3 linked regions of the Oryza sativa Japonica Group genome follow. The protein of the gene in region 2 interacts with the protein of the main gene of each other region in a pairwise test. Links are inferred from orthologs where the notes say so. Each region holds a gene or a part of one and is shown on either strand. Other genes may lie near its edges.

Evidence for each region.
Region 1: the proteins of protein GIGANTEA (region 2) and protein rough sheath 2 homolog interact in binary tests that used the Arabidopsis thaliana proteins (3 or more experiments, as listed by UniProt). The link is inferred for Oryza sativa Japonica Group from reciprocal best matches to the Arabidopsis thaliana genes GI and AS1.
Region 3: the proteins of protein GIGANTEA (region 2) and protein O-GlcNAc transferase interact in binary tests that used the Arabidopsis thaliana proteins (3 or more experiments, as listed by UniProt). The link is inferred for Oryza sativa Japonica Group from reciprocal best matches to the Arabidopsis thaliana genes GI and SPY.

Annotation. Positions count from the first base shown.
Region 1 is NC_089046.1:24,248,383-24,252,134, reverse strand, and holds the start of protein rough sheath 2 homolog, read left to right. Parts: upstream 1-1,435; 5' UTR 1,436-1,785; intron 1,786-3,752.
Region 2 is NC_089035.1:4,346,500-4,350,251, reverse strand, and holds the start of protein GIGANTEA, read left to right. Parts: upstream 1-1,171; 5' UTR 1,172-1,358; intron 1,359-2,895; 5' UTR 2,896-3,125; exon of another isoform or gene 3,126-3,202; 5' UTR 3,203-3,220; coding exon 3,221-3,307; intron 3,308-3,399; coding exon 3,400-3,477; intron 3,478-3,569; coding exon 3,570-3,624; intron 3,625-3,702; coding exon 3,703-3,752. UniProt on the Arabidopsis thaliana protein: Involved in regulation of circadian rhythm and photoperiodic flowering. May play a role in maintenance of circadian amplitude and period length. Is involved in phytochrome B signaling. Stabilizes ADO3 and the circadian photoreceptor ADO1/ZTL.
Region 3 is NC_089042.1:28,137,616-28,141,367, reverse strand, and holds the start of protein O-GlcNAc transferase, read right to left. Parts: upstream 2,446-3,752; 5' UTR 2,157-2,445; intron 1,739-2,156; 5' UTR 1,694-1,738; coding exon 1,325-1,693; intron 601-1,324; coding exon 439-600; intron 345-438; coding exon 169-344; intron 79-168; coding exon 3-78; intron 1-2. UniProt on the Arabidopsis thaliana protein: Probable O-linked N-acetylglucosamine transferase (OGT) involved in various processes such as gibberellin (GA) signaling pathway and circadian clock.

The sequences.
Region 1 (3,752 bases), on a different chromosome or scaffold from region 2:
TTATTTACTATTAAGCCGTTTTGATATATTAGAGGATATGAGCAAACGATGAGACTCTTTCTTTATTTCTCTCTCAAAAGAAAAAGGCTTATTTATTATTCCCCTCACTTTTAAAACGTAAAGATTTTTAGGATTCAAATTTTATATTAAATGTAAGCATTCCAAAACTGATTCTCATGATTACAATCATTTTAATGATTCCAAAGCCAATCAGATGATTGAAAGTGAAATTCAAACAATTCAAAATTTAAAAATTGATAACCGAAGTGATTAAAAGGGAATATTTGGACCTAAATTTAGTATTTGCTAAACAACCTATAAATCGTTGTATTTTAGAATGGAGGGAGGAGTTTTCATGTGAAATGTAGTATTATTTTAATACAATCAATTAAGTCTCAGTCTTCATTGACTACTATGAATGAATCAGACAAAAATAATTTATGTTCAAACTTCTATATTAGTGTTATTAGCGATTTTGAAAGACGATACTAGAAAATAGATTAAGAAGAAAAAAAATCTTAAAATCAACTTAAAATATAACCTTTTAAATTCAAATTTTGGCTAAGCTCAGTAAGTTAACATGTAGACGATGAGAGGATATAAAATTTTACATGGTTTTACTACTAAGCCGTTGGATTGCGATCGGACGACGACTCTCATGCATCTGGCTTGTTGAGCAGTGGAGAATTGGAGATTTTTTTACAAACATTGTACTGTGATCTGGGCTGGGTGGCAGCCAGATTGGTGGGAGTAGATTCCATTTCACCATGCATCTTCTCAAGAAAATTCCTAGCACAGTTTTGTGCTACAGCAGCAGCAAAAAAAATAATGCAGATGATGGCTCATCCATGCACGGCCATTGTACCAGCACAGTGTAAAGAAATAAAAATTGGCAACAAGAGGCAACCATCTCATCTCATCTGGACTCACCTAGAGTATGGATCATCTCCCCTGTCCATGCATGCATGCATGCTGCAAGAAAATGCATATACAAACATTCAGAAAATTATATTTGATATTGATATTCATTTGCCTCCCATCTCCCTCTCCAACAGTGCCATCTCTGATCACACCCACACTGTGAAGTGAAGTCAGTCATCTCCAAGAGAAGCAAAAGCAAATGCAAAGCCTTCACCTCTCACCTCACATCCATTGCTGCATGGACCATGGCACCAATGCACCATGCACATCTCCAGCATCTCCATCTCCATGAGTCCATGTGCATTCAAGCTTAGCAGCAGCAGCAGCAGCAGCTGTATGTGTGGGTGTGGCCATGGTGCTTTCTTTGCATTGCATTGCATTGCAATGCATGCACTGTTTGCTGCAGCTGCTGCAGCTGCAGTGACTAGTCTAGCTCTCTCCATCTCTTTCTTTCTCTGCTTCTTTGTTTCTTTCTCTGTCTATAAATACAGAGGCCTCTCCTTTCCACCCAGCCCTTTTCCTCTCCTCCTCCCGTCTTTTCCACCACCACCACCCTCGCGTGCCCTAATTTCTCGCTGCTCCTTGTCCCCCACCTCCTTTACTTGAGCTTGCTCACCACTGCCTCCATATACAGAGAGTCTTCTCTGTATTTCTCTCTCTCAGTGGGAGGCTCACAAGAATCTTTCAGCTCACATCTCACTGTCCTTGCCTTTCTCTAGCTAGGTACTACTACTGCTAGTACTAACCACTGCTCGTGTTCTTGGGACTTCTTCTTCTTCTTGTTCTTGTTCTTAAAATCATTTGGGGTTTTGAGCTCCAGGGAGGTCCAAGAACAGAGCAGCAGGATGGTGCAGTGGCGTTTCTGTAAGTGAATCCTACTACCTTCAGTTTCTTGAGCAGTTTCAGTAGTGTAGAGCTTATGATGTAATGCAGCAGGTGCCATGTGTGTTGTGCTCTGAAGAAAGCTGTTCTGTGGGTTGCTTTGTTACTATGTTTTTTGTGTTCATGTTTCTTGGTCTGTATGGCTCTACATGTTGGGTGTTTTTGGTCAGATTTTGTCTCTCCTATATCTGCTAGTCTGTTTTTCTGCAATAGATCTTTCTGTTAGATTTCTTGTCTTGTAGGGAAGTTGGTAGAGGATGTGCTCTCAGGGTAAGGATTGATTGTCAGTTTGCTTAGTTCTTTCTTTTGATTCACCAGTTGGGATTTAGTTAGTATGGATAGATAATCTGCTAGGTTGGGGTTAAATGTTGCCTCTGATATGGTGAGTGAAACTACTTTTGTGGATTTTGTATGGATTGTGGTTAGTGGGTGAAATTTGTGTTCTTGATTGAAACATCTACCTAGTTCTTGAATCTTCAATGGCAGCATTATTGTACTGATTGTTGTATGGTCCAATAATGTATTTAGGGGGATTCTACTTACTGCTAGTCTGCTCCCAGATATGAAGATTTGATTCTGTTTTTTTTCCTCTTCAAATGTTTCTTTTTTATAATTAGTTGAAATATGCTATTATCCAGAGTACTTTTGGGGGTTTATGGATTGTTTCCTCCTACTCAAGAGAGGTAAACAAAGTAACTTCTTCAGTACAGATTTTCCAGAGATGCCATTTCTTCTTCATCATTCCTCCTTTGATTACTTCATGATTGTTTTTACCTGCTTCTCAGCCCATATCCCTTGGAACATTCACTTCCATGAAAATTACCACCTAAGGAAAAAAAAACAAAATGGTCAGTAATTGAGAACTTGCTATATTAGTTACCTGAAAGATAGTAACACCCAGCAACACAGATCCATGTTTCAGTATACTTGTGGTATAGGAGTAGTATAGTATAGTATACCCCCACACTGCTTTCAATTTGTCAGTACTACTACTGTGGTAGTAACATCTAGCCAAGGAGGATACAACGGTCCAATCCAATCAGATCAACAAACAACAACACATTGATTTCTTTGGCCTACTACCATGCTTTCAACATTCTTTCATTTTGTTTCTTCTTGGTTAATGCTTGAATTTCTAGATGAAATGGATGGCACAAGACCACTCTTGAGGAATCCTAAGTTTCCTATAAATCCCTTTTATAAATACTTTTTTTTAGAAACAACTGTTTTGTCTCAACTTAAAAAAAATAAAATCAAAAGCATATTGCTTGCAAGAATTCAGAAGATGTTCTAGGTGAAATTCTTGCAGATTTTATTGCATTTCTCTCTCATGAGTCCTTCATTACAATTAGGTGAAAACTAAAGAGGTGCCATATTAAATAGAGTGAATTTATTGCAAATTAAATTGGTTTTCGATTTGTCAAATTTGCTCGAGACACCTAACCAACTAACCCTTATTGTCCAAATCAAAATTCCATCTCGTGCGCAATTAGCCCTGGCCATAGCTTTAATTCGTCATTAGTAGGCAACCAGTGGGGGCTCCAAATGGTCCTAGAATCATCACTTTTACTTTGGATTTGCTTCTGCCTCTTGCACATTCCCTTATTTTGTAGCCTTCTTGAGGGTATTAGGTAGGTGTTTTGGCAGATTATCTCCCCATTGATCAGCTCCCAATTAATGCCAGATGGTGACACTGCTAAAGATGGAAGACAAGCTTGCGAGAAAACAGTGGTAGCCTTATTATTTCCTCTCACAAGAATTGTGCCCACAACTTGTCCTGACATCTGTGAATTTGTCTGTATGTTGATAGTAATAGCTGGATGAATCATGGGTGCTTAACAATGCTCTTACTTACCAATAGTGTTTATGGTCGGTTGGCCCTTGCAACCTCCAAAGAACCAATTGGAGCAATTCAGCCTTCTCTTTTTTTTTTCTCTCTCTGTCATTTT
Region 2 (3,752 bases):
AAACGTGTATTGTTGCCTCTCGAACAAGAGCCATCTCTACGTATACTCCAACATAGAAACATTGAGGTTGTGTTTCGGGAGGTGAGATTGGAAACTCACCTCCTACGCACGTAAAATGGAGTGACACATTTTCTTATGATTAATAAACCATTTACTATTTTTTTTAAAAAAATAGATTAATATGATTTTTTAAGCAATTTTGTATATAAAATTTTTGCAAAAAAACATACTGTTTTTAGCAGTTTAAAAAACGTACGCGTGAAAAACGAGGAAAGTGAGTTGAAAAATTCGGAGAAAGAACTCAGCCTAAATTTGTAGAGAGAGAAAGAGAGATGAGAGGAAAATAGAACTAACCTTGTATTTTGGGACGCATGGAATAGGAGCTTATAGCAACTTGTTGACTTTACTATTAAATTTGCTCTTATCACTTTAACCGTGTAGATCCAGTTTGAATACAGAGGCTAAATTTTATAGCCCCATCGTTTGGCCTAAACAGCCAAAGAATAAGCCAAAATTTGAATTTTTGAACTTGATTTTGAAGTTGATTTTGAAATGCTTTTAACGTAATTTTTGTTAATGTTGGCTTTTAAGTCGCTACGAACAAATCTACAAAAGTTTTACTTATAAATTAATTTTAATTTTCTAATAAGCCAAATAAGTCATTTTGGGTAAAATGACAACCGATGGGAGCCTTAGTCAACTCTCTAAAAAAAGTAATCATTCACTTGCAAAAGAAAATGGATATATACCTCCACTTTAACCGCTTACCATGATAGTACCTCAAAAATCATAGGGACCATTTCGCAATAATCTCACAACACAAGGACTAGAACCACAAAATCCATGTCATTGGCCATGGCCATGGGGGGTCATGCATGACGATCACCAAGCATACATACATACATACATACATGCCATGCACCCCCGAAAATATCAAGGCCATGTCAGCAATCGCCAGGAGGCGATCCGCCAAGCCAAGCAAAGCCTTCCCACCCCCCCGCCGCACTCACGAATAAGTATCTCACCCCGCAGCTACCCCACCCGCCTATCACCGACACGTGGGCCCCACATCACCCGCCCCCACGTGTCGGCGACCCGGAACCGCCGCGTGGGCCCCCACCCCACGCGCGCGCGCGGGTGGGAAATAGCGCGGCCACTACCACCACCACCACCACCATCCCCGGAAAAAATCTTTTTCTCGCCTCTCCTTCCTCCGAGCCGTTTCTCTCCCTCTCTCTCTCCTCCTCCTTCCCCTGCGCCTCCTCCACCGCCCGTGTCGCCGCCGCGCGCGTCTATCCCCTCGCCGCCGCCGCCGTCTACGCCGCGTGAGGTCCGGATTGGTTGAAAGGCTGATCGAGGTAATGCTTTTTTATTTTTCCCGTGCGGTTTTAGTTTTTCTGTGCTGTGCTTGGTGGTTTTTTCTTTAAAACTATTTTTAGGCTGGTTTTGATGATGGCCTTTCTAAGGTTGTCGTGTATGGGGGGCGAGGTGGTTCGGGTGGATTTGTGGTGTTATGTTGAGGGGATTTTTGTTTGGGGGGAGAGAGTTTTGGTGGTAGATGCGGTTGGGATTTTGAAGACGTGAAAGGGAAATTAGTTTTGAAATTTGACGGCGAGGTTGAGCTGATTAGTATTGTAATAATTCGTGGCATCGGATAGATCAACGCGAGATGGATGCTTATTACTGCGAATTTCAGGAGGTTTTTGTGGTTTTTTTAGGCGAGTAGCGTTGATTCTAGCTGGATTTTGCTGCTTCGTGGAGGCGTTTAGATGTGGTGCATACGGCTGTGGATGTAATTTGTGCGGGGATAATTACTGAAAATTAATTCGCAGTAAGCTAGCTCTGCTTTAATATTTTTTCCCCTGAAACAGTAACAAGGGATCCCTTCCTCATTTCGTTAACAGTGGAAGTGAATACAGACACCAACCGATGAGCAGAGACACCTGTAATTAAACACCAAAAGAAGAACCTGTTTTGTTCCTATATATTTTCCATTTCTATGCTTTAGGTAATATACTTTCTGGTTCGGTGTCATAGTACCCGAAATAGAATCTTTGCTTGCCAAAAAAAGAAAGAATAACAAGATAGAACAACATCATTAAATTCTGTCTTAGACAATACATTTATAATCGACCAACAAAAACAGACCGATGAGTGACGTGGAATAACAAATGAAGTATAAATGTCACGAAAAACACATCTATTGATTTTGTGTGATAAGCCATAGGAGCCTACGAGGAACCAAGTGAATGGTTCTGTACACCACATCCATTAGCATTACCATAAATTTGCCTATTTCTATGATGCCTTCCTTAACATATTTATCGACATGTGAGCTTGCACCATAACTAAATGTTATGGTAAACTTTACCTTATAAATGATTGCAACATGTACCTTTTCATTTCGATAATTAAAAACGAGAAAGCTTCCACCTTTTTCCTAGATATATTTTTTCGTTTGATTATGAATTTAGTTGTACTTGACAATAAAATAATGCGCTTGTAAGATTATGCAATTTTCGTTGCATTACCTCCCTCTCTTTTCATTTGTCAGTTTTTTTCTACTCCCTCCGTTTCATATTTTAAGTCGTTTGACTTTTTTCCTAGTCAGACTTTGTTAAGTTTGACAAAGTTTATAGTAAAATTTAGCAATATCTAAAATATTAAATTGGTTTCATCAAATCTAACATTGAATATATTTTGATAATATGTTTTTTTTGTGTTGAAAATACTTCTATATTTTTCTATAAACTTAGTCAAACTTGGAAGAAATTTCAGTAAGAAAAAAGTCAAACGGCTTATAATATGAAACGGAGGGAGTAAATTTTTTTTTGCATTAATTAAAATTCATGTATTTTCCTCCTTTTTTGGTTTTTGTTGTGCGATATATTACAGTGTAGAGACTCTGAAGCTCATATGGTTGGCATTGGTTGATATGATAACGTGTCACGTTGTGAGATGCAGACCCCCGTTATGGGGGTTGATTGAATGAAGTGGATAGCACTCTTATAACTTTCTTGCTCGAAGTTTCTTGATACCAAGGCAAGTAGCTTATAAGAAGATTTGGACTTTGGTGGCATAAATGGATGAACTAACTGGCGGCTTCAACGTGGTGTTGATTACAGGTGCTTTTATTGCTAACTGGAGCAGTTTGTGTAGTTTCTTTCTTTCTCTTTGAGAATTCTCTCAGTTTCTTGGGCAGGCTCTTGAGCTACCAAGTATGTCAGCTTCAAATGAGAAGTGGATTGATGGGCTCCAGTTCTCATCACTGTTCTGGCCCCCACCACAGGATTCACAACAAAAACAGGTAACATTATTCCTATTTGATTCTTGTTAGAAATTCTATATGTTGAACATACTTGCCTCAATGGGAAACTTGGTTGCGTCTCCTCTCTGAAGGCACAAATTCTGGCCTATGTTGAGTACTTTGGCCAGTTTACAGCTGACAGTGAGCAATTCCCTGAAGATATAGCTCAGGTACTGTATCTCTAAGCATGTTTAGTATCTTCTGTGATAAAATCTTTCTCCAGTGTGTTAACTTTTGCATTCTTTTTCTTGCATGCTTGCAGCTAATTCAAAGTTGCTATCCATCAAAAGAAAAGCGCCTTGTAGATGAAGTATTAGGTAATTTGATCCAGTGATCAATACATGTTCCACAAACAATTGAAGAAAGAGTTTGACATATTTTTCTCATATTTCCAGCAACTTTTGTTCTTCATCATCCTGAGCATGGCCATGCAGTTGTGCATCCG
Region 3 (3,752 bases), on a different chromosome or scaffold from region 2:
ACCTTTGTACCCAAGTCGGTTAGTGCTATTGCCATGTTATTCTTGGCAATCTCAAAATTTGGGGAAATAGTCAAGCACCTGGGATACAGTAAAGATAAGTCAACATTAGTTTTCAACAGTACTTTGGGAATCAGCATAATTTGTATGAGCAGAAAAAATAAAGCTTACCTCTCGTAGCAGGCAATTGCTGCTTCTAATTCTCCACGATTCTTGTAAATAACTCCCATGTTGCAATAAGCTTCAGCATACAATGGCCTCTCCAAAGCAGCTTTCTCGTAACAAGTAAGAGCCAAATCAAATTGCATCATCTCCGAGTAAACCACACCAAGGTTGTAATAAGCAGGCTACATTAATCAGATGAACACATTAAAAAACTTAAATGGATAACAAAAACAAAATAATAGAGATCTAGATATAAATTATAGCTGGTGATGGTACCGCATAGTGGCTGTCAACTTCCAAAGCTTCACAATATTTTTGAATCCCCTCCTCTGTATTACCTGCAAGCTTCAAGCTAGTTCCAAGATCGGTCAACACAATAGCAAGAAACTCTGCAGCAGGTTTGTAGGAAGGATCTGCATTTCGAGCTTTTTGATAAGCCTGTTACAATTTCTCTCCATCAGAACATTTATGGATAAATATATCACATAATAAATACAGAAACAATGTCGAAATTCCAAGCTTTTCCGAGAGAATTTTTGGACTGACCAACTGTTTTGATCTTATATGTTAGATTGGTTAGGAACTTAGGATTTTTACAACCCTGCCAATTAATAGGGACCACTATTCTCCAAGGGGCAAAAGTATTACTCTTTTTGCAGCTCTAGCTGAGCCTTAGCTCATTCACATGTCATTCTATCCACCAGCTACGCACAAAATTTTACGGTGCTAATAAGTATGTCATGGAGATAATAAAAAATCTTCTGCTGGAAAATTCTTGAGTGATTATCTCGACAGTTTTATCTCTTGCATAGTATGCTTGATCAAGAACTTATCAAACTAGTTGTTTTGGTTTCTAGTTACAGTTCTTGGACACAAACCACTCAAGATATAACTTGGTGCTAAAAATAGGTCTGCAGTACCCTCAGAAGTCAGAAATTGGCAGTTAAGTCCCAAGTCTCATTGCCTGGTATTTTGGGGAGTGCGACTGTGCGAGGCACTTACTTCAGCATTTGAGTATTTTGCTTTCAGAGAACCACATATACAACATTTGAGACTTCTAGTGTTTATGACAACAAACTAAAAAGAAAAACTATCAGATTTCACAATAACGAATAAGCTAACAGTAAGAACAGGGAATCCACATGAAGAATCTTACGCATACCTCTGCAGCTTCAACTAAGTGACCCTCATCTTTGTATATCATCCCACAATAAGTGAGAGCACATGCATTCCCTGGGTCGATCCTGACGGCCTCGTTGAAGCACTCGATGGCCTGCATAGGTAGGCTCTGTGCCTGGAGGCAAATCCCTTTGCCAATAAGGGCCTCCACATTGGCTTCATCCTTCTCAAGGACATTATTGTACAACTGGAGTGCTTCGGCAAATTTGTTGCGGGAGCGGAGGATGTTGGCGTACCGCAAGGTGTCCTTCCCGTCCAACTGCTGTTTTGCAGGGACAGCACCACCATTACGTTCAGGAACAACGCCATTGCTCTCCCTCCCTTCGCTGGAGTCCATCCCCGGTCGCCCCATGGTACGGAAAGTAACCTACTTGTTCTATCTTTATCTTTTTTTTTTCTGCAGAAAGAATGTAACGATCATCAATTTTAGAATGGTTCGTTAGGTCTAAGATTTCAGTTGCGAATATTAGCGTGAAGAAAACGCGTCTAAAAAAAGGAGAAAAATTGGAGCCAAATGCGCGTAAAGACTAGAAAAAAAGGACGCGGCTTTGGACTACCACCGAATTGCGTAAAAGCCGCAGCTTTTTAGTAAAAACTCAGGGAAAAGAACACCAAGATTGCAAATTTCAAAACCCTAGCCAAAAAAAGAAAAAAAGAACTTTTGCAAACAACAGATTAAGAACACCCCCGGAAAGAATCCAAGAACAAGCACTAAGAATTCGCAGGAAACAGTAGGCGTTCGCAACGCAAGAGAACTCTTCCAGCTCAAGAAGCAAGAACCCTAATGCCGCGGCGGAAGTAGGAGGAGAGCTCACATTGGATAGGCGCAGTCCACCGGCGCAAGATCATGGCGCGGCAGCCGGCACCGCACCCCCCACCGCCACGCCGCAGCGAGGGGGGGGAGACCTACCCCTCCGCGCCGCCGCAGGGAGGGGGACCCGGTACCCCGCCGCGCCGTGCGGCAGCAGCAGCAGCGAGGGTTTCGACAGCGACGGCGGCGAGGGTTTCGGGAGGAGGGGAAGGAGAAGGAGAGGGGGAATTTTGGTGTTTAGCCCCCTCCGTTTATTCCTTTTTGCTTTTCGTATTTTTTTTCCCTTCTTTACAAGTTCATCGTGCGCTCGCTTTGCCTTTTGTACTGCCGACTCGCAGGCTATTGCAGCTGGGCTCTGGTCGACTCCTGCAGCTTTTTTTTTTTCTGCTGTATCTTTTGGCTGCCACCCCTCAGTTTTTACTTTATTCCTTTATTTACTTTCCTTGTGGGAGCAACAGTCTGCAATGATTTTTAGACAGTCCACTAGTAATTGCTTGACACAGAGAAATTAATTGTGGGCTGGTTTGGTTTGAGGTCTAAACTAGCCTTATCAATATTTGGCAATTTCAATAGTGTTTAGTGTCTATTTGGTTTGAAGCCAAATTTTGGCATGCCTAAGAAAATAGGCCATTTCAATAGTTAAGTTAGGCTATTTTGACTTCTATCCAAACACAACTTTAACTTGCCAAAACTAGCCATGCTAAAACTTACCAAAATTTGGCATTGCCAAAAATTGGTAAGGCCAATTTTAGCCACAAACCAAACCAGCCCTGTGTTTCTGAAGGGAAGATATGAGGATGAAATGTTGACCTCGACCGTGGTAAGTTAATCCCGTTAGAGCCTGCTCTAATAACAATACTGTATATCTTAATATAGTTTTATAGATGTATATTTATTAAGAAGCGTTTCTATGCTTAAAAAAGCTAGTGCGGATATTAAAACTTACTAGTAGTAGTCTAATTTAAAAGTTACAATTGACATACTAAACCTCATTAGCAATGGGCAATTTCTTCCCACAAAATTAACCCATATTAATCTCATTTGTCTAAAAGGGCCACATGGCATGTGTCGGTGACATGGGACCGGGAGTATCATGACTAGAGGCTTGGGCAGGAGCAATCACCCACGAGGCCTGACCCCCTCGGGGGGGTCGGGCCCGAGGGTGATGTGGCCGCCCCCCTCTTTGTCTCCCCGAGGGGTCGGACCGCTCCCGTTTCGGCCCCGAGGGCTGAGGCGCCCCGACCCCTTGTAGGTCTTGCGCCGCGTGTATGGGTTAGGTGAGCGCAGTAGGGCTCACCTAACCGCATTTATTGCGGTTTGGACGAGCGCGTCACGCCGCATGTAACGCAGTGCAGCGCGCTCGTTTATCCGGTCTGTGACCAGTCACAGACCGATCAGATCGTGGGTTAGGTGGCGACAGGCGGTCTGACACACGCCTCGCCCCATCCCGTCAGGATGAGAGCCTCCAAGCACTCGTCCCTAGCCGGAGCCGGCGTGTTACCTCCTGGAGATGGCACGTTGGTCCCGGTCAGATATATGCCAGGCTTCATCCTAACCATTACAAGCAAGATATTGTATGAAGAAGGGCGAACATGCAGAT